Linked DNA regions of Saccharomyces cerevisiae S288C. The gene in region 1 interacts genetically with each later gene. Each region holds a gene or a part of one and is shown on either strand. Other genes may lie near its edges. The genes, in order: YLR464W, YLR012C, YHK8 and PRM2.

What was found.
Region 2: mutations in YLR464W (region 1) and YLR012C together harm fitness more than expected from each alone (negative genetic interaction), as found in Saccharomyces cerevisiae (one large-scale study listed by BioGRID).
Region 3: mutations in YLR464W (region 1) and YHK8 together harm fitness more than expected from each alone (negative genetic interaction), as found in Saccharomyces cerevisiae (one large-scale study listed by BioGRID).
Region 4: mutations in YLR464W (region 1) and PRM2 together harm fitness more than expected from each alone (negative genetic interaction), as found in Saccharomyces cerevisiae (one large-scale study listed by BioGRID).

What each region holds. Positions count from the first base shown.
Region 1 is NC_001144.5:1,063,658-1,069,252, forward strand, and holds YLR464W (uncharacterized protein), read left to right. Parts: upstream 1-2,914; coding exon 2,915-3,427; intron 3,428-3,429; coding exon of another isoform or gene 3,430-3,706; coding exon 3,707-3,844; downstream 3,845-5,595. Other genes in the region: YLR462W (uncharacterized protein), read left to right, coding at 2,299-2,907; YRF1-4 (Y' element ATP-dependent helicase protein 1 copy 4), read left to right, coding at 3,430-5,595.
Region 2 is NC_001144.5:168,139-173,208, forward strand, and holds YLR012C (uncharacterized protein), read right to left. Parts: upstream 2,144-5,070; coding exon 1,844-2,143; downstream 1-1,843. Other genes in the region: LOT6 (flavin-dependent quinone reductase), read left to right, coding at 965-1,540; GAT3 (Gat3p), read left to right, coding at 3,201-3,626; PPR1 (Ppr1p), read right to left, coding at 4,130-5,070.
Region 3 is NC_001140.6:201,687-207,769, forward strand, and holds YHK8 (Yhk8p), read left to right. Parts: upstream 1-2,920; coding exon 2,921-4,465; downstream 4,466-6,083. Other genes in the region: FSH1 (putative serine hydrolase), read left to right, coding at 4,776-5,507; divalent metal ion transporter SMF2, read left to right, coding at 5,968-6,083. UniProt on the Saccharomyces cerevisiae protein: Probable drug/proton antiporter.
Region 4 is NC_001141.2:282,529-287,228, reverse strand, and holds PRM2 (pheromone-regulated protein PRM2), read left to right. Parts: upstream 1-2,229; coding exon 2,230-4,200; downstream 4,201-4,700. Other genes in the region: CST6 (Cst6p), read right to left, coding at 1-1,563; CCR4-NOT core subunit NOT3, read left to right, coding at 4,577-4,700.

The DNA.
Region 1 (5,595 bases):
AAGATTGCAGATCAGGGCAGTGCGAGTTACGGAGTCATGGTATCAAACTCTCATTTAGAGACCCTCATTTTTTGACACTGAAAATATCAAAATTTCTGGGTTGCGATAGTTTTTGTGTAACCGTAACCAGAAATAAAGCTGAAGGGTTAGTGTTCTATCAACAATAAGATAGAGGGTGGTAAGATGAAGTGAGACAATATCGTAACGTCCGTTTCAGTATACGCCGCTGATAAGTTATATTACCGTAAAATTATTTGACATTTCGTTATAGATCCTATTAAATAACGTACCTATCACAGTATCGTCTTGTTCAGATATAGTCTCTTCGTATGAGTAGTGTCACATACAAGATTAAAGATGCATCAGTTATGCTTTTAGGATATTGCGGATAGCATATGGGAATGGAAATAGGATACAATTTTATCATAGCACCCGCATGAGTGTCAACACAGTACCATATTATAGCACAGTGAATGGAGAGTGTTACGACAGTGAGGTAGCATATTATTCTAATGTATGGTCTGCATAAGTACGAAATATTCTGAAATGGCATCCGTTCAAGCAAACTGCAATATTAAGGAACTTTTACGTTAATGACGTCATGGTAGTGTTCATACTCCAAGTCAATATGTTTTTGTATTATTGTTGAAGAATAGAATATTTTTATGTTTAGGTGATTTTAGTGGTGATTTTTCTGTAATATTGGCATAAGTGTATTTAAATTGAGTGGTTAGTATATGGTGCAAAAGTAATATAACGTATGTATTAAGAGCATTTTTACAATATTCGAGGCCACTGAATGAGATATAGATATTAAAATGTGGATAATCATGGGATTTATGGGTAAATGGCACAGAGTATAGACCGCTGAGGCAAGTGCCGTGCATAATGATGTGAGTGCATTTGGCACTGATTTAGTGAGAGATGGGCCATGGAGTGGAGTGGAATATGAGAGTAGGGTAAGTTGAGATGGTATATACTGTAGTATCCGTGTGCGTATGACATATCAGTATACAAGTGAAGGTGAGTGTGGCAAGTGGTGGTGATGGTATAGAGTGATAGGGTAAGTATATGTGTATTGTTTACGATCATTTGTTAACGTTTCAATATGGTGGGTAGAACAACAGTATGGTGAGTAGTAGATGGGAGATGGTAGAGGAATGGCAGGGTAAGTGGTGGCGGAGTTGGATATGGGTAATTGGAGGGTAACGGTTATGGTGGACGGTGGGTTGGTGGTAGGAAGTAGAGAGGTGGATGGTAGTTGGGAGTGGTATAGTTGAATGAGACAGGGTAACGAGTGGGGAGTAGGGTAATGGAGGGTAAGTTGAGAGACAGGTTGATCAGGGTTAGAGTAGGGTAGTGTTAGGGTTAGGTGTGTGTGTGTGTGTGGGTGTGGTGTGTGGGTGTGTGGGTGTGGTGTGGTGTGTGTGTGTGTGGTGTGTGGGTGTGGTGGGTGTGGTGTGGGTGTGGGTGTGGGTGTGGGTGTGGGTGTGGTGTGTATATCTATGTCACCTTATTGCATGCTGGATGGTGTTAGACAAGGCCGTAGGGACATATAGCATCTAGGAAGTAACCTTGTACGAAAATAGGCAATATTTCCTGTTTGACGCAGATTTTAGCCCAAAGATCTAGCGTCAAGGAATTTTTTTATAGTGGGACATTGCAAACCAAGGAAGTAACTTGATACGTCGTTGGTGAATGGGTCTGTTTTCTTATTCGGCGGGGTAATACATTTTTGGGGGAAGTTTGTCTGTCTGACGCGCCATATGTAGGTACGCCAAAAAGGGCTCCTCTACTTCGAAGCGCGAGGTCGTATACCTAATAAGGAAATGTAATTTATAACTTTTTATTATATTGGTCTTTTCGAGAGCGGAACGTAGGTCCATGTTTAAAGTATCCAAGAGAATATCCACGAAGCGGCTGAGCAACGAACAGAATCCTGGTTCTCCTCGACTAAGCAGATAGTTAAGATACTGTGCACCATGGAAATTGAAAACGAAAGTACGTACCGACTACTTTATTTTTGCAGGCCGGAAATCAAGCGATGAATGAGACATCCTTCTGTTTTCTATGTTGTGCTTGAAGGGGACAGACAGTCGCTTATCTTAGTGAGATTTTGTTTGCTTTTGCTGCACCTGCATAGCGCAGATTCTGCATCTTCTCAATAGCTTAATTATTACATTCTTAGATGATGATAAGACGAAAACTGGACAATCTTTTGTTTATATTGATGGATTTCTTGTCAAAAAGCATAAAAATCAACATACTATTGTTAATTTCGAAACTTACAAAAATAAAATGAAAGTTTCCGATAGGCGTAAGTTTGAAAAAGCAAACTTTGACGAGTTTGAGTCGGCTCTAAATAACAAAAACGACTTGGTACATTGTCCCTCAATAACTTTATTTGAATCGATCCCCACGGAAGTGCGGTCATTCTACGAAGACGAAAAGTCTGGCCTAATCAAAGTGGTAAAATTCAGAACTGGTGCAATGGATAGGAAAAGGTCTTTTGAAAAAGTTGTCATTTCCGTCATGGTCGGGAAAAATGTAAAAAAGTTCCTGACGTTTGTTGAAGACGAACCAGATTTCCAGGGCGGACCAATCCCTTCAAAGTATCTTGTTCCCAAGAAAATCAACTTGATGGTCTACACGTTGTTTCAAGTGCATACTTTGAAATTCAATAGAAAGGATTACGATACCCTTTCTCTTTTTTACCTCAACAGAGGATACTATAATGAGTTGAGTTTCCGTGTCCTGGAACGTTGTCACGAAATAGCGAGTGCTAGGCCGAACGACAGCTCTACGATGCGTACTTTCACTGACTTTGTTTCCGGCGCACCTATTGTAAGGAGTCTTCAGAAAAGCACCATAAGGAAATATGGGTACAATTTGGCAGCCTACACGTAGATGAGCTATGCAAGCAAGTTTACCTGGCGAAAAGAAAGTCGACACAGAGCGGCTGAAGCGTGATCTATGCCCACGTAAACCCATTGAGATAAAGTACTTTTCACAGATATGTAACGATATGATGAACAAAAAGGACCGATTGGGTGATATTTTGCATATTATCTTGCGAGCATGTGCACTCAATTTCGGGGCGGGTCCCCGTGGTGGCGCTGGTGACGAAGAGGATCGATCTATTACGAATGAAGAACCCATTATTCCCTCTGTGGACGAGCATGGCCTGAAAGTATGTAAGTTGCGCAGTCCTAACACTCCACGAAGACTCAGAAAAACACTAGATGCCGTGAAAGCTTTATTGGTGTCGTCTTGTGCTTGTACCGCAAGGGATTTAGATATATTTGATGACAACAACGGCGTTGCAATGTGGAAATGGATCAAAATTCTGTACCACGAAGTAGCGCAGGAAACCACGCTGAAGGACTCTTATAGAATAACTTTGGTACCTTCTTCTGATGGTATATCAGTATGTGGAAAACTTTGGGGAGAGTTGAACAACTGCTTCCATATGCCAGCCTCATTTTGCGTAATCGAGAAGTTTTGTTCAGAGAACCGAAGCGAGGAATTGACGAGTATCTGGAAAACGATTCTTTTTTTCAAATGATACCTGTTAAATATCGTGAAATTGTGCTGCCCAAGTTGAGAAGAGATACTAACAAAATGACCGCGGCTCTTAAAAATAAAGTCGCTGTTGCAATTGACGAGCTTACGGTGCCACTTATGTGGATGATCCATTTTGCCGTAGGATACCCTTACCGTTATCCAGAGCTTCAGCTACTCGCTTTTGCCGGTCCTCAGCGCAACGTATACGTCGATGATACAACAAGACGCATCCAACTGTACACTGATTACAACAAGAACGGTTCATCGGAGCCTCGACTAAAGACGCTTGACGGACTCACTTCAGATTACGTGTTTTATTTTGTCACTGTGCTAAGGCAAATGCAAATATGTGCGCTTGGTAACAGTTATGACGCTTTTAATCATGATCCTTGGATGGATGTGGTGGGATTTGAGGATCCAGATCAAGTAACAAATCGAGACATTTCGAGGATAGTTTTGTATTCCTACATGTTTCTGAATACCGCGAAGGGCTGTCTGGTTGAATACGCAACTTTTCGGCAGTACATGAGGGAACTTCCGAAGAATGCACCTCAGAAGCTGAATTTTCGGGAGATGCGTCAGGGGTTGATTGCCCTAGGACGGCACTGCGTAGGTAGCAGATTTGAAACAGATTTGTACGAGTCGGCGACGAGTGAACTCATGGCCAATCATTCCGTTCAAACAGGGCGAAATATTTACGGTGTGGATTCCTTTTCGTTAACTAGTGTCAGTGGGACGACCGCCACTTTATTGCAGGAACGAGCTTCCGAGCGCTGGATTCAATGGTTAGGCCTTGAAAGCGACTACCATTGTTCATTCTCTAGTACTCGGAATGCGGAAGACGTAGTGGCAGGTGAGGCGGCGAGTTCAGATCATCATCAAAAAATTTCAAGAGTAACGCGAAAAAGGCCCCGAGAGCCCAAGAGTACAAACGATATCCTCGTCGCAGGCCGGAAACTCTTTGGCAGCTCCTTTGAATTCAGGGACTTGCATCAGTTGCGCTTATGTCATGAAATATACATGGCAGACACACCCTCTGTGGCAGTACAGGCCCCACCGGGCTATGGTAAGACGGAGTTATTTCATCTCCCCTTGATAGCACTGGCGTCTAAGGGCGACGTGAAATATGTGTCGTTTCTGTTTGTACCGTACACAGTGTTGCTTGCTAATTGCATGATCAGGTTGAGCCGATGCGGTTGCTTGAATGTGGCCCCTGTAAGAAACTTTATTGAAGAAGGTTGCGATGGCGTTACTGATTTATACGTGGGGATCTACGATGATCTTGCTAGCACTAATTTCACAGACAGGATAGCTGCGTGGGAGAATATTGTTGAGTGCACCTTTAGGACCAACAACGTAAAATTGGGTTACCTCATTGTAGATGAGTTTCACAACTTTGAAACGGAGGTCTACCGGCAGTCGCAATTTGGGGGCATAACTAACCTTGATTTTGACGCTTTTGAGAAAGCAATCTTTTTGAGCGGCACAGCACCTGAGGCTGTAGCTGATGCTGCGTTGCAGCGTATTGGGCTTACGGGACTGGCCAAGAAGTCGATGGACATCAACGAGCTCAAACGGTCGGAAGATCTCAGCAGAGGTCTATCCAGCTATCCAACACGGATGTTTAATCTAATCAAGGAGAAATCCGAGGTGCCTTTAGGGCATGTTCATAAAATTTGGAAGAAAGTGGAATCACAGCCCGAAGAAGCACTGAAGCTTCTTTTAGCCCTCTTTGAAATTGAACCAGAGTCGAAGGCCATTGTAGTTGCAAGCACAACCAACGAAGTGGAAGAATTGGCCTGCTCTTGGAGAAAGTATTTTAGGGTGGTATGGATACACGGGAAGCTGGGTGCTGCAGAAAAGGTGTCTCGCACAAAGGAGTTTGTCACTGACGGTAGCATGCGAGTTCTCATCGGAACGAAATTAGTGACTGAAGGAATTGACATTAAGCAATTGATGATGGTGATCATGCTTGATAATAGACTTAATATTATTGAGCTCATTCAAGGCGTAGGGAGACTAAGAGATGGG
Region 2 (5,070 bases), 900 kb from region 1:
TTGATTCAAGGAATGTTAACTGTCCTATATCATATAAAATATGAATCATACTAAATGGTGGAAGCACGGATCTTGGATCTAAACTAATTGTTCAGGCATTTATATGTTTGGGTAGTTTGGCTAAGGGAGGCCGGGTTTTATCTCATGTTGTTCGTTTTGTTATAGGATTGTTTCATATGTATTTTATGAACGTTTAGGATAATGTATTGTCAGGCTGACGTATCTCATTTTGAGATACAATAATTTAACCTATTTTATGTTAAATATTACACAAGATGATAAATATGTCAACTAAAAACTTTAACGCCGAGCTTGGCCATTACAATATAGAGCACATGCTATGATCAAATGAATTAGATGAATACAAGCCAAGAAAGCATTTTTTTAATTACACTTCATGCTTTTGTTGGAATGAAACTGTAAAATACCATCTGTTTAGTAGTATTTGTGTTACCAGTATACCGTCACATGCGGTGTAACGTGAGGACATAAAAAAGTCATCAAAATTAATGTCCCCACGTTACACTGTATATGACAGTATATACTACTGACATGAATACTAGTCGATAGTTAATACATGATTCTTATTACAACATGATGATTACAGTCTCGTCTTGGTCTGTTGTTTGACCCTACTATTTTATGCTATTTTTTGTATCTGATTTGAATTCAAGGCAATTGTTGTAATTCCATTCTTGGCATAACCCTGTGTAGATTCTACAGATAAGCTGCTTTTTTCTTTGAGTGGTGCCCCCGTTGTTTATTACCCGTCAGTATCATAACATTTGAGCATCTCACATGGTTACGAATGTAAATATGAATCAAAGAAGGTGCAAAATCAAAAAAAATCGAAAGATTTGACATGCCTATTGAAAAGGGAAAGTTGTATATCTATCAATTGTTAATTAGTTACTTGGTCATCTCCATTACCAGCTGAGGTGCTTAGTCGACAACCGCATTAAACATGAAAGTGGGTATTATAATGGGTTCTGTGAGGGCAAAGAGGGTATGCCCAGAAATTGCAGCATACGTAAAACGTACAATTGAAAATAGCGAAGAATTAATAGACCAGAAGCTGAAAATACAAGTAGTAGATTTACAACAGATTGCTCTTCCCTTATATGAAGATGATGACGAACTGATCCCTGCGCAAATAAAGAGCGTGGATGAGTATGCAGACAGCAAAACTCGATCGTGGAGTCGCATCGTAAATGCATTAGATATTATTGTATTCGTTACACCTCAATATAATTGGGGGTATCCAGCAGCCTTAAAAAATGCAATTGATCGTCTTTACCATGAATGGCACGGAAAACCTGCCCTGGTGGTAAGCTACGGCGGTCATGGCGGTAGTAAGTGTAATGACCAACTTCAAGAGGTACTACATGGTTTGAAGATGAATGTTATAGGTGGAGTGGCGGTGAAAATACCGGTAGGTACGATACCGTTACCCGAGGACATTGTACCACAACTCAGCGTGCACAATGAAGAGATCCTGCAATTACTCGCATCGTGCATCGAAACAACGAGGAATAAATAAACCATAAAATTTAACTGTAGTCGCAATAAAAGATGAAAAGCTAACACAATTATCATAGGACACTGTAATCCAGACTTTAATTAGTATTAAGTATTGAGTACAAAGTACAAAGTATTATACTAACGGTAGTTTGGGCTCTTCGATTACCCATACACTTTTAATGGACTAATTTCATCAAGTTTCATTCGAAAATTTTCTTAAAATATATATATGCGTAGTGGTATAGTATTCATATTTCATGAACTTATTTCATAAAAAAAGATAAAGCAAACCTAATATTTGGATCGGCGCTCGAAATTATTCTCAGTATTCTTCAGCATTAGACATCTTTAACATATCAATCTTTAAAAGGTTTCTTCTTCTTCTGTAGCTCGGAATATAAGCATTCATATATGACCATGTTGTAACGCGATCGAACCAAGCAACTTCTTCTTGTGCAAATTTCCTAGCAATACCAGGCACACCTCCTTGACGATCAAATGCAATTCTTTCAGTCTCTTGTTCAAAATCTTTTTGACATAAAGCCAGGTATTTTTCCTGTTGTTCAGGTTGCAGTTGAAGATACTGCTGGTAGGTGATTTCTTTGTAATAGACAGTCTTCATTTGAATATGTTCGAGACTTTTTCTCTTAATCTCTATGAATATTTTCTGTCTTGAAGCTGCCGTCTTCATAGAATGTTGTTCTATTATCCACCTCGAACATGGCCTTTTTATACGTTTTTACATTAAACATCCCCTTCATATTAGTTTGTTCTCGACTTAATTCTACTCATGCTTCTGACATTTTTTCATGCCAAGACCGGCCCTGAAAAAGGGTCCGGATATACGGATAGCGCCACACATTCAATTAGGGGAAGTATTATTTGATACATTGTCAGCACACAGCGATTTAACCCATTATTTGGCATGACAAGCAAGCTATTCGACAGTGAAAAATGCACAGAACATTCAAAATTATACTTATAATATGACTCTTTTCTTTTATTGCAGTTGGTATTATATACATATATATATATATATATATATGTATATGTTCCCCGAGACAATGGTTTTATTTCCAAAAAAAGTGTAAGTAAGTTATTTTCTGTGTATAAAAAAATAAAAGAAGCCAGATGAAGTGCCAGGTGGCGTACCAGGACTTCAGCTTTCTTTAGTTTGCATAATGAAAGTATCACTTACAGCTCCCTTGAAGGATTAGACGCTATTAACCCCGATGAAAACGCATCAACAAAACCTTTAACACAGTACTTATTTGGTGCAATACATACTCACACAAACACCTGTAGAAAATCCCCTTATATGAAAATCCCTTTTTTTTCTTGGCAAGTATTTCTGATAAAATGCGGACAACATTACCTGCTTAGCCGCCTGCCACAGAAAATAAGTAGGCTTCTCTGTAAAATGGAATAATAGGCTAGAGGTCAAAAACCTCCTCTTCAGTCATATCTATGTTTTTAAGGGTCTAGGGTCCAATTTGATGGAAAAGAACAAATGGTCGAGCATGTTAATTAATATTTGTTGCTCTGTTTGAAGAGTATATTATAAGACGAGAGGTTCTTTGAGGGAGCTTATCTTACCTTTTCTTGATTTGAAACAATTTCATTAAATGTAAACAATTATCAACTAGAAGCAAATATAAAGCCAGAAGGAAGAATTTGCTATGAACATTAAGACTTTGTGTCATCCAGAATATAAAAGAATCTCCGTTGAATCGTTATTGAATCCGGTAGAGGAGACAATAGACTGCGAAAAACCTCACTCTCAAACAAAAATCAATACTGCTAAACCCATTAGTGCATCTTTGTATGTCACAACGAATAATACTGCTGTTGTTCAGCACAATGTCCAAAAGAGGAAAGGCGTCACCAGGAGATGTCCACAGTGTGCGGTGATAAAAACTTCTCCGCAATGGAGAGAGGGTCCTGATGGAGAGGTGACATTGTGTAATGCCTGTGGATTATTTTATAGAAAAATATTTTTGGTTTTTGGCAAGGATCTGGCAAAACGGTACTTTAACGAAATAAAAGGTGTGAGCGTCAAACGAAAAGTTCCAAAGAGCCTCTATGGAGTTACAAGAACGCGTTAAGAGAATTTATTTCTGCTCGGAATGTTATATACTTATGTCAAAGCAGTGATTATACATTTATCGACTTTAAACAGTTGATAACGAACATTATGTGTTATTCGAAAGTCAAAGTGCCATACAAAACAAGTGGTTTCTCAGTTCTTGCAATTTTTCTTTATCAGCGTAGTCCCAGAAAAAAAAATCATCACTGGAAATGTAAGATGAATTCAAGTATCAAGTGCCGTTGGTATTATAGTTTATCAATTAATACGTAAATATATATATATATATATATATATATATATATGACTATAGTGGCATACTTCTCAATGGACTGTTGCTTCTATCATTTTATACATGCGTTCAACTTTGAAGATTATCACAAAAACCTCAAACTTTTCAATTAATCTGCCCCGGTCATTTAAGTTAGCTCTTTTAGGACTCTCATGTTTTCAAAAAATAGATTGAAAAGAGCATTGGTGGCCCTACTTTCAATCCATTGATCATGATTCTTCGAGCTATCGCTAAAATATTCCACCGGATTCAGAGTTCTTTCCTTTACTGATATCGTAAGAAGACTCGCCTTCGTTTCCGTTACCAGACCTGACAAAAAACTCATCCCATACAGATCCCGAAGTAACCTGGAAAAGGATATCCATGATATCTTGATTATTGGTATACGACTGGCAATTCAATGCAGAAGACGTATTTGTAGAAGCACTTTCATTTATCACTTGATTACCTTCGCTTACATCTAAAGTATTAAACTGGGAAACATTGCTGTGTTTTTCCAGTTCGGTAAAAAATTCATCTAGAGGTATATCAAAAGGTGCTTTTTCTTCAAAATTGGTTCTATTAAAAACCTTGTTATCAAAAGTACCGTCGTCAAAACCAAGTACGTTCGTTTTTTTATCATAACTTGACATGCGGTTTGCCTGAGAGGTTAGGGGATTTGAATCCGAAAATATCCCTTTGGCATCATTTATTTGCATAAATTTTAACTTTATTACAACTGATGATAAAATTTTGTAACTCGTGTAACAGGTTTTCGCAGATTCGCAAAAACCTATCAGATTCTTCAGTACTATCAACACTTTTTCAGTGTACTCTGACACTTTTTCTTGACAATCATTTATGTTGTTTTTTGAGTAAAAATTTACGTAAAGGTAAGTCATACCTGTCATGAACATGTTATGAACTGCTACCCACGTGTAACCAATTTTTTTATTGACACAAAGATTGTAAAATACGTCTATGGTGCCCTTCGTACTGTCCAGGACAATTTTAAAAGCGGTATCATTCAAAGTAGGGAATTTTGGAGAAAGTCCATAAAGAATGCTCTTCGAGTAATGATAGTTCAGATCAAACCAGATGCTGTTAAATTTGCAATTCATCATCTCAAAGTTTTTGGGAACGTCCACTTGGAACCAACGCTCAAGCTCATTGTAGGTTTCAATCCGCCAGC
Region 3 (6,083 bases), on another chromosome or scaffold:
TAGAGCTGAATATTTCTCCTTTAAATTTCAAAGAAAATGAGAAGGAAAATCTCAAACAGAAACTTCGTTCTTTTTCTCAAGTAAGCAAAAGCTTATTGAGACAAAGCGGAATAACTACGATATTAATAACGTTGATGAAGCTCGAACAAAGTTAGCGTCGGTTATGCTTGCCTATATAAAGATATATTTGCCTTACATTTTCGTTGAACGTAGAATGATTTTTGCTTTTAATAAATTTTTTGTTGTTCTTTCAGTGCTTCTTCAACTTTGATACGAAAGCAAGTGCATTAGTACAACAAGAACTGGCCACAACTATACTATACTCATTTTTTCTTGCCCGTGTTTTAAATGTTTTCATCCACAGCATTTGATGGGATGATTGGAAGTGAGACGTTCGAGAAAATCCATATTTTGAGTCAAGAATTCAGATAATATACTGAGATGATTAGGTATGGCTGGGTTCTACAAAAACACAAATATCCGGCTAGCAATGATCACTGAGCAAATTAAAGCGTTAACTCACTCATTATTGTAGCTTATGCGTTTCTCCTCCTCTCTTTTTTTCCTCGAACCGGAGTGGAAGATCCAATAACGTAATATTACTGATGTTGTTATTAAAGCTGGCAAAAATAACATGAGGCGTAAAACCGCACTGCGGTAAGATGAGGGTATAAGGTGGAGATCAGGCGAACAAGCTGTTCTAAATCATACATATGTACAATGAGAACGTGTAACGATCCAATGAGCGTTTCATGATGCCATTGTTTAATCAGAGTGATGAAAAAGAAATATTTGCGACCTTTTTTCGTTACATTGATCGTGAAATTTTAATCAAAGATAATATAAGGACGTGAGATATTTATCTTTTTACTTGAAATTAACAATAGAATTGCGCTAAGCGGAATAAGAGCTTTCGTAAACCTTTCTATTTGCACCATTGCGTCAACGTATAAAATGGTATGACCTTTACACAAACGCATGCTTATAATCTTATGTTTTTCATAGGGTGTAATTTGGTTGATGACGTAGTCTAAATTTGATGCTATCTGCAATTGAGGTACATATAAGAGGTCAATTTCGGGACCAACCCTTTTAATCGAAAAAAACGTAATTCACTAGGGCAAGGGAGAACTTAGCAGCTAATATCGTAAACCTTTCATACTAAAAAAATGCACTTACCATCAACAAAAAACTCAGGACCAATTTCCAAGCTTTTCTAGGTGATTGCCTATAACACAAAAAGATTCGCTCATACATGAGATTTTTACATGTAATAGCAATTTGTTCCGATCAGTTGAAGGTCATCAACGCACGGCAGGTACATCCACACCTATCACAAAGCCCTTCAATAATTCACCTACGTAAAGTTATACCGAAACATGCAAAATCCATGAAAAATTCTGTATGATAACGATCATATCCTTTTGTATTGGTGGTACGATGCTCAAAGATAGTTATTGTTGCACCTGAGGCAAAAGCGGAAATGAAAAATCCAGATGGGGCCAAAAGCAGAAGTATTGTGTACAACAATTGCTTCAGCAGTTTACCAAACCGTTTCCCAGCAATCATCAAAAGTTGCTTTAGCCACATTTCCGCAAGATATCTTTGTGGCTCAACGAAGAGGGCTATTCCAAATGCAATACAATACTAGCCGCTAGTGATCCATGCTTATAGGCAATTTGATTGATAACTGGCCGTTCTATTAAGGAGTCAATGCTAACCACATATAATGCATATAGGATTTGGCCTCTGCTGACCGTAATACTAGACAAGGAATATAAAACAACAACGTAACCCAGCATAAAAACGATATAAATAAAAAAAGAAACCAGATCATAAAGTTTGAGGGCACATCCCTCATGGTTTCAAAATCTCGTACATTGACTCAAACCTCGAGATCTTGTTTAAACGAACATAAGAACAGCGGTACCAAGTGACACATTGCGTACTGTGTAGTATGCGCCGTATATAACTTTTTTTTTCTGAAGGTACTTTGAATTACAATCTATTTTTTACAGTTCCTATGGCAGGGGTTGAAGATATTTGGGTCTGAACCATAGCAGGATTAGTGTTATAGTAGGTATGTGAATAGAAGCTAACAAAATGAGATGAACCTCATACAAAGTCGTAGAGAAAACTGCTAACAGAAGAGCTGCGCCTTGAAATCGTATCTCTAAGCTTATAATAAATTGAAAGGAAAAAATACGTGGTAAATGCAAGCGACCAAAAGGCTACGGCCCAACGCTAACCCGCCGATAGGTGCATAATCTAATTTACCTCCACCAGCAGGAGCCCTTTTTCTAAGTAATAAGCAAACCAGATAACTTACATCTTGCTGTAGGAAACAAAAGCCGGAATAATGGTTCACTCATATTCTTCGTGTGAAACACAGAAGAAATCCAATATTTGCTTCAGTATTTATCTCTAAAAATTGGTCCTACATTGGAAACCATAAACCAATTATAACCGGTGTACGAATTGTAAGCTAGTTCTGGAAATGTCATGTTGCGCAGGTAAAAGTGGAGCTGAATTGTATATCTGTTTTGATCATTATTATCCCTCTGGGTGAGTGGAAATATCAATAAAATGCAATGGCACATTTAATATCCTTCTCTTAATTCCGTGATTTATAACATCTTGATGCCAGAAACACCTTTCGGATCCGGCAATAAAGCGGAGATTAGCACGCTTTTCGCCGGTCCTACGGATTTAGTGTTGGCTATTGTTGAGATTAGTAATACGCAGAGAATTTTTCTACCGGTGAAGCGACCATCTCAGATTATTAGGTCAAGCAATAACACTTGTTATTAGATGCGTTACGTTCACCTGGACCCTATATAAAGGCATATTTGCCTTACATTTGGTGTATGGTATCACCTTGTATACTAAGAACATATATATGCAGATATAACAACAGGATATGGTTGCAGAATTTCAAATAGCGAGTGCACAGTCATCGGCATTGACATCTACTGAAGAAGAGCATTGTTCAATAAACTCAGACAAAGCCGCAAAACTGGATCTGGAATTGACCAGTGAACGAAAAAATGACGGCAAACAATCGCATGAAGTGACCTTCAACGAGGACATCGCGGACCCAGAAGATATAGCACGGCATATGAGCACCGCCCGCCGGTATTATATTTCCTCGTTAATTACATTCACATCGATGGTAATTACGATGATCTCGTCCAGCTGGACGCTTCCTTCAACGCACATAATCGAACACTTTCATATTTCGCACGAAGTCAGCACTCTGGGAATTACGCTTTATGTGTTTGGGCTCGGTATAGGACCTTTATTTCTGTCTCCACTAAGTGAACTATATGGACGAAGGATCACATTTTTATACGCCCTTACGCTCAGTATCATATGGCAGTGTTTGACCATTTGGTCCAAGACCATTACGGGTGTCATGTTTGGCAGATTTCTATCCGGGTTTTTTGGTTCAGCCTTTCTAAGTGTGGCTGGCGGCGCCATTGCCGATATATTCGACAAAGACCAAATTGGTATTCCTATGGCAATATACACTACATCGGCCTTTTTGGGGCCCTCTTTAGGACCAATCATTGGTGGAGCCTTATACCATCAAAGTTATAAATGGACATTTATCACACTTCTCATCACTTCTGGATGTTGTCTCGTTATGATCATCTTTACCATACCTGAAACCTACAAACCAATGCTGTTAATACGTAAAGCTAAGAGATTGAGGAAAGAGAAAAATGATCAACGGTATTATGCTGTCCTGGAAGTCACCCGCGAACAGACTTCCTTACTTTCCGCAATCTTTCTCTCAACCAAAAGACCCTTTGGCCTGTTACTTCGAGACCGAATGATGGGTGTGCTTTGCTTCTATACTGGATTGGAACTTGCCATAATATATTTATATTTCGTAGCGTTTCCTTATGTGTTCAAGAAACTTTACAACTTTGGGCCCATGGAGATTGCATGCTCCTATATCGGTATTATGGTCGGCATGATACTCTCGGCTCCTACTTGCTTGTTATTCCAAAAAACGTTTGAGTGGAGAGTCAAAAGAAATAATGGCGTCAAGACTCCCGAAATGAGATTCGAGCCTCTGTTCTACGGCGCCTTTTTGACCCCAGTTGGGCTCTTCATTTTTGCATTCACCTGCTACAAGCATGTCCATTGGATTGCACCAATTATAGGCAGTGCAATTTTCGGTTCAGGTGTTTATTTCGTCTTTACCGGTGTTTTTGCGTATACAGTGGATGCCTATAGAAGATATGCAGCTTCTGGAATGGCTTGTAACACATTTGTGAGATGCATAATGGCCGGTGTCTTCCCTCTTTTCGGACTCCAGATGTACAAGTCAATGGGAGTGAATTGGGCCGGCTTTCTCTTGGCAATGGTGACCGTAGCGATGATTCCTGTCCCATTTCTGTTTACCAAATACGGTGCCCGACTGAGAGCCAAGTCGCCGTATGCATGGGATGATTGATTTTTTTGCATATTTTTTCCTTTGGATGTTGCATAATCTTTTCCCGCTTACGTCATTGGTGATAGATTGTTTCGGATCTTCAAAAGGCAACACGCATAGGCCAAAGAAAAAAGAAATTTTGCATTTTTTCATTTTTGCATATTCTCGCATGTTTTCTTTCTTTTTCTCTAGTTTTCGAATGTTTTTGGCTGCAATGTATATTGTATATAAACCATAAAGGTGCAAAATGCCAGATGTACGCGGCCAATCTTAATTTTCTAGTAAAAGTAGCAGCTAAATCTGAAACTCTCTAGCTTGTAATAAACGAAGGATGACTGTACAAATTCCAAAATTATTATTTTTACACGGCTTCTTGCAAAACGGTAAAGTTTTCTCCGAAAAATCATCTGGTATTAGAAAATTATTGAAGAAGGCTAATGTCCAATGTGACTATATTGATGCACCAGTCCTTTTAGAAAAGAAGGACTTGCCATTTGAAATGGATGATGAAAAATGGCAAGCCACCCTAGATGCGGATGTTAACAGAGCCTGGTTCTATCACAGCGAAATCTCTCACGAATTGGATATCTCAGAAGGTTTGAAGTCTGTTGTTGATCACATCAAGGCCAATGGCCCATACGACGGCATTGTCGGTTTCTCTCAAGGTGCCGCATTGTCCTCTATCATCACCAACAAGATCTCAGAGTTAGTTCCAGACCATCCACAATTCAAGGTAAGTGTAGTCATTTCCGGCTATTCCTTCACCGAGCCAGACCCAGAACATCCTGGAGAATTGAGAATAACCGAAAAATTCAGAGACTCATTTGCGGTAAAACCAGACATGAAGACCAAGATGATCTTCATCTATGGTGCTTCTGACCAAGCCGTCCCATCCGTCAGATCCAAGTACCTGTACGATATTTATTTGAAGGCGCAAAATGGTAATAAGGAAAAGGTGTTGGCTTACGAACACCCTGGTGGACATATGGTTCCAAACAAGAAGGACATTATCAGACCAATTGTTGAACAAATAACCTCTTCCTTACAAGAAGCTTCTGAATAAATCGTAGGTTGTTGCTTACCTGCTTTCTAGCTTTTTACTATCACACGCAGGGTGTGTGGAGTGAAATGCTGATCGAGTATGTATATATACATATAAGTACTTTGTATAGAATGAACCACAAGTTTGTAGCATCCTTTCTCTTCTCTTCCATCCTGCGTGCTGCTAACCCCGCCCGGCGCGAAAAATCCACCCGGGGTGCTTTAGCGTGGCTTACGAAGACCTTTTTAAACATACTTATACTCTTTCTCGAAGGAAGAAAATAATGCAGAAGAGAAACAGCAGAAAAAAAAGAAATCATATTAAATTTCAGAATCAGTCTCCTTTTGCTTCTAGTCATTTAACCATCAAACGCGTTTAACCGTTTAGAAAACCCTCTTCAACAACTATTTGTTTTGATACTAATATTAGCACATCTCTATTGCCATTTAACCACTAATTTTCCGTATAGCGTTTATGTTTGATGACGTCCCAAGAATATGAACCTATTCAATGGAGCGATGAATCCCAAACAAATAATGATAGTGTCAACGATGCGTATGCCGACGTGAATACCACTCATGAGTCGCGTCGAAGAAC
Region 4 (4,700 bases), on another chromosome or scaffold:
CTTTAATGAATCCACAGTCATGCTTTCATTTTTGTTGCTACTATTAGTGCCATTAACATTATTATCTGAGTCTTTATTTAGTTTTTCATGTTCACGTAAATGAATTTTGGAGAATTTCTTGAATTTAGAGATTAGTTTTTCATAGTAATTTAACTTTTTCAGTAAAATTCTATTCTCGTCTTTAATTTCGTTAAATTCCTTTTGGAGCTGCAGCTGCGCAACCTTTTTCCTTTGTCTACATTTCGAAGCTGCAATTCGATTTCTTTCTAACAATCTTGCTCTCTTCCATGCCGTAGTACCAGGGATTGGATTTCCCTGTGTGTTCGCCGCTAAATTTAAATGAGATCCTTGAGATTTTGGAGTGAAGCTAGGATTAGAGTGAGATTCCCTAAGTGCAGATTTGCCCCTATTTTCACCTCCAGTAGTTGGCGCAAACGTCGTCATGCCTTCCAAATCACTTATACTCTCCGCTGGAGTATTCTTTGATGGCGCGTTTACAAAATTTCGCTGCTGACTTTTCGAGTAAATAACGCTCTGATCACCCAATGCGGAGTCCTTCGTGGGATTAATAACTTTTTTTGCATTGTATTGTGGAATACTACTAACCGGCACTGCTTGGTTGAAGACCGGCTTGTTTGATACATTCCTAGTTTGGCTCAGACCATTATAATTGTGAAAATTGGGCATCGGGGGCGGCTGTGTGTTGTGCAGGTTTTCCAAAGTTTCAATATCTTCGCCTAGCTGGCTTATTTGACCGTTAGAGATTGATATTCTTCTTCTTCTAATTGGCTCATCGCATCCAGGCAAAGAACTTTGGAAAATTGGTGGATTCGTCATAGGTAAATGTGCTACATCAACACCAAAAGGTTGAAAAAATGGCGACAATGTTTCCAGGATGGATGGATCGTTCAAGGCATGTGGGTTGTTATTCATATTCATGTTCATGAAATACATCTGCTTGTTCACAGAAGCCGTATTGGCGATGTTGGACGCATTAGTCGGGGCTGTAGTAGAATCATTCGGAGCGGACTTACGGGTAGACGACAGTTGGCTCAGATTTGTATGAGTGGCCAGATTCTGATGCATATCCTGTACGACACCAGAATTCATCAGAATATCACCGTAGAGTTGGGATTCCTCTTCAGTTTTCATAGAGGGTGACTGTTGTCGCTGATCCTGCTGTTGCTGTTGTCGAAGGTATGCAGCCTGCTGATAGTTTGAATTGGCGCTGGGTTTAACAACCCGATCATGCGAATTGACGTTTCCAGCTGCAATAGAATATTGTGGGGTTAAAGAATTTCTATTGGAAGTAGTATAATCATGTATTTGGTCAACCACACCAGCCATATTTGTGCTATAGTTTATGTCAGTAGGATCTAAGGATCTACTTAAAGCAGAATTGTTCATAGTAGAAGTGGTGGTGGCGGCGGCAGAAGTATCACTAACAGAGTGCGGTATCTTATTATTCAAGATCTTTGATGTGTCATCAATACCACGTTTATTGTTGTCTTTTTGCTTGTTGGAATTAGAGTCTACGGAATGATACTCCTGACCAGTAAACATTATCCTACCAAAAAGGTGTGGGCTTATACTTTTTTCTTTACTACTTTAGATCTTTTTAGATCCTTTTGAATCTTCCAATTGAAAGACTGCTTTAAAAGCGAGTTTTTGATTTAGAAACACCAACAGATACGTATACACGATAACCTCTATAGCGGTTCTATTTCTGTTAACAAGAAGGTACTTGAAAGTGATAACTCAAAAAACAAGAGTACAATATGAAAATCTTTTGCCTTCATTGTCATTGTCATTGAATCCCCGATTATCATTGTCAGCAATTTCGGAGAAGGGGGCAACTATGTTCCGTGTAAGGTGATATTACTCAAATGTGTCACAATTTCAACTTCTGGGAATAATATTTATAATAGTTGAGATTATTCTTGATTATAGAGGCGACAGCTTATCTTAATTTTCGCCAATAGGTTTGGAAGAACATTGGTATTTTCATTCGGTGCAGCATTTTAATTCAGAATTATAACCGTCCTTGTACGGTTATAACAGCACATTATTGAAAAATGTTTTAAAAATGTTTCAGCCCAGTAATAAAACATTTACATATGCTATCTTGGCCCTTTATATAACATGTAAAGCAAAAAACTAGAACACTAACATGGCTTAAGTAGCTGAAAATCTACACCACTTTTCGATAAAACTAAGAGTACGGCAAAGATGAACAATGTACACATAATTAAACCTTTATCACTTCCACAGAGGTTTTTTAGTTGTATTTTCCATCCTCTATTACTGATATTCTTTACTTCTGTTATTTTAACTATTTGGGGTTCCTTTTCAGTCATTGACATTACAATGGCAAAAATGTCTCACGCACAGGTCAAACGAAATGATACCGTCTCAACCTTTGCATCTATTTCAACTGCTACAGCGACAGCCACAACAACGGCCACAACAACGGCCACAATGACAGCAGTCACAACACAGCATGCCATATATTCTGCCAACAGTTACTCTTTAAATAAAACATTCATTGATAATACAATTGATCAGTATTTCGAAAGCAAACTACGGAGTATTGAATCTACGGTAGGTACGGATATGCAAGAAAAATTCAAGTCATACACAGACGACATACTGGATAATAAACAAAAACTTATCAACGACCAAATAAGTTTGGAAACTGAATTGATTAAGGAAGTTCTTGAGGTAAACAATACAATTTTTAACGAACTACTCACTAAATCACAGCTGATAAATGACACATGGAATGAAATATCAGAAGACGCAATGACCATTGATAAGGATTCCATTTCACAAATGGCATCAAACCTACTGTTAAATTACTCCATGTTTGACAGTATTTTTGGGAACTACTCAAGGAAATTGAAATCATTGCAGAACTTCAATGGCACTATCACTGACTTTTCTACTCAATTAGATACCTCTAGTACCTTAAGTTTGAATTTTCTACGAAATTCCACTGACTGGCTTCAGTTGAAAAGGAACTTTACTGCAAACTTACAGAATGAAATTTCCATTTTATCTGGGGGGAGTACCGAGGTTACATCGTCTACTTCAATAATTAAACGGTCTCTGAAAACAAATAGCGAGGAAAACAGTGTACTAAGTGCAGTAAAAAATCACGTTTTCCGTAAATGTAAGAGAATGACAATAATTTTCACAGTCATGTACTTTGCATTTGTGATTTTGCTCATGGCAATCGAAAGAATTCTGTTTCAGCTGGAAAATCAGCAAGTAAACCTGGTTATGTCCCAAATTAATGGCCTGACAGGACAAACCAATTTTACTAAATACAACAAAGTTTTGAAAAGCTTAATTACTACTCTGAATCTCAGTACACTTTATCCAATTCCCTACCAATTAACAAAGCTTATCAATCAAAAAATATTTAAAAGAGAACCAGAAAAAATCGATGACAAAAAAGTCAAAAAATCAAAACTATTTTACTGTAACTGGTGGATAATCTCAAATGGGGCTCACCTGTGGCTGTTTGGTTTTTTGATGTTATTAATTCATTGGCAGATAGTGACGCGATTAACAAACTTTGAAGTACCCAGTTTGCCTACATTCCACAAAAGAGCGGGACCTTCGCTATACAAAAGGGAAGTTTGGACAGATGGAAATATAACAACTACGATAGAGGGTTTCATTAATGACAGCGTATCATTATTGTGTGAAAATTTCCAAATGGAAGTGAATGAAAAGTTCATTACAGCAAATTTAAGCCTTCAAACTGACCCCAATTTGAAAGTGCAATCAACGGACATCCTAAATCTTTGGGTTAACGACACAAACACTCAGTTTGAAAAATATCTTAATGAGAGTTCTCAAAATTGGCAGGGGATAGACCTGCAGGTTGAGCCTCTGTTAGGCAGCGATTCAATTAATGAGTTCCTGGGTCAGTATTTCCTACCGACATACGAAGTTACGAATACAAATTCTTCATTTGCACTGGACATTCAAAAATATGGTATAATTAATCGAGGAATTAATATAACCAACGCATCGGTAGCGGCATTGTCTTCACTGTCAAAACGCCAAATAAAGGATAAGGAGCAAAAACAAACGTACTTTTTACACACTGTTTATAAGTGGGGACTTTTAGCAGTTTGCCTGACTATATTGTTCCACCACATGCTTATATTTATAATATTAAAGTTGTAAGTATCGTATTATCGTCACCTTCCACGAGCGGTCTCGCAATTTTCGCTGAGTGAAAAACTTGTGAAAGATACCTTGATTTTATGTAATAGTAGCTTAATTCACTTTCATCTGTGCGTAATCTCTAAAACCTACTGACCTACAGATCAATAAACTGACTAAGGCGCTTGTAAAGTTATTAATAACTTTGCTTCTACATTTTTTAAAGCATTTTGTTGATATTTCGAACTTTCTTTTGTTCATCTCCTTTTGGTTTGACTTTAACGAGAAGTCTCATTGTGTCAAGACAAAAAATCAAAAGCTATTATCTACAGCACATTTATTTATTCATTTTCAAATTTAGATTTTTGAAGATTCATTGTATGTTTAGTCGATCGACATGGCTCATAGAAAATTACAGCAGGAGGTCGATAGGGTCTTTAAAAAAATTAACGAAGGTTTAGAAATCTTCAATAGCTATTACGAAAGACATGAATCATGCACAAACAATCCTTCCCAAAAGG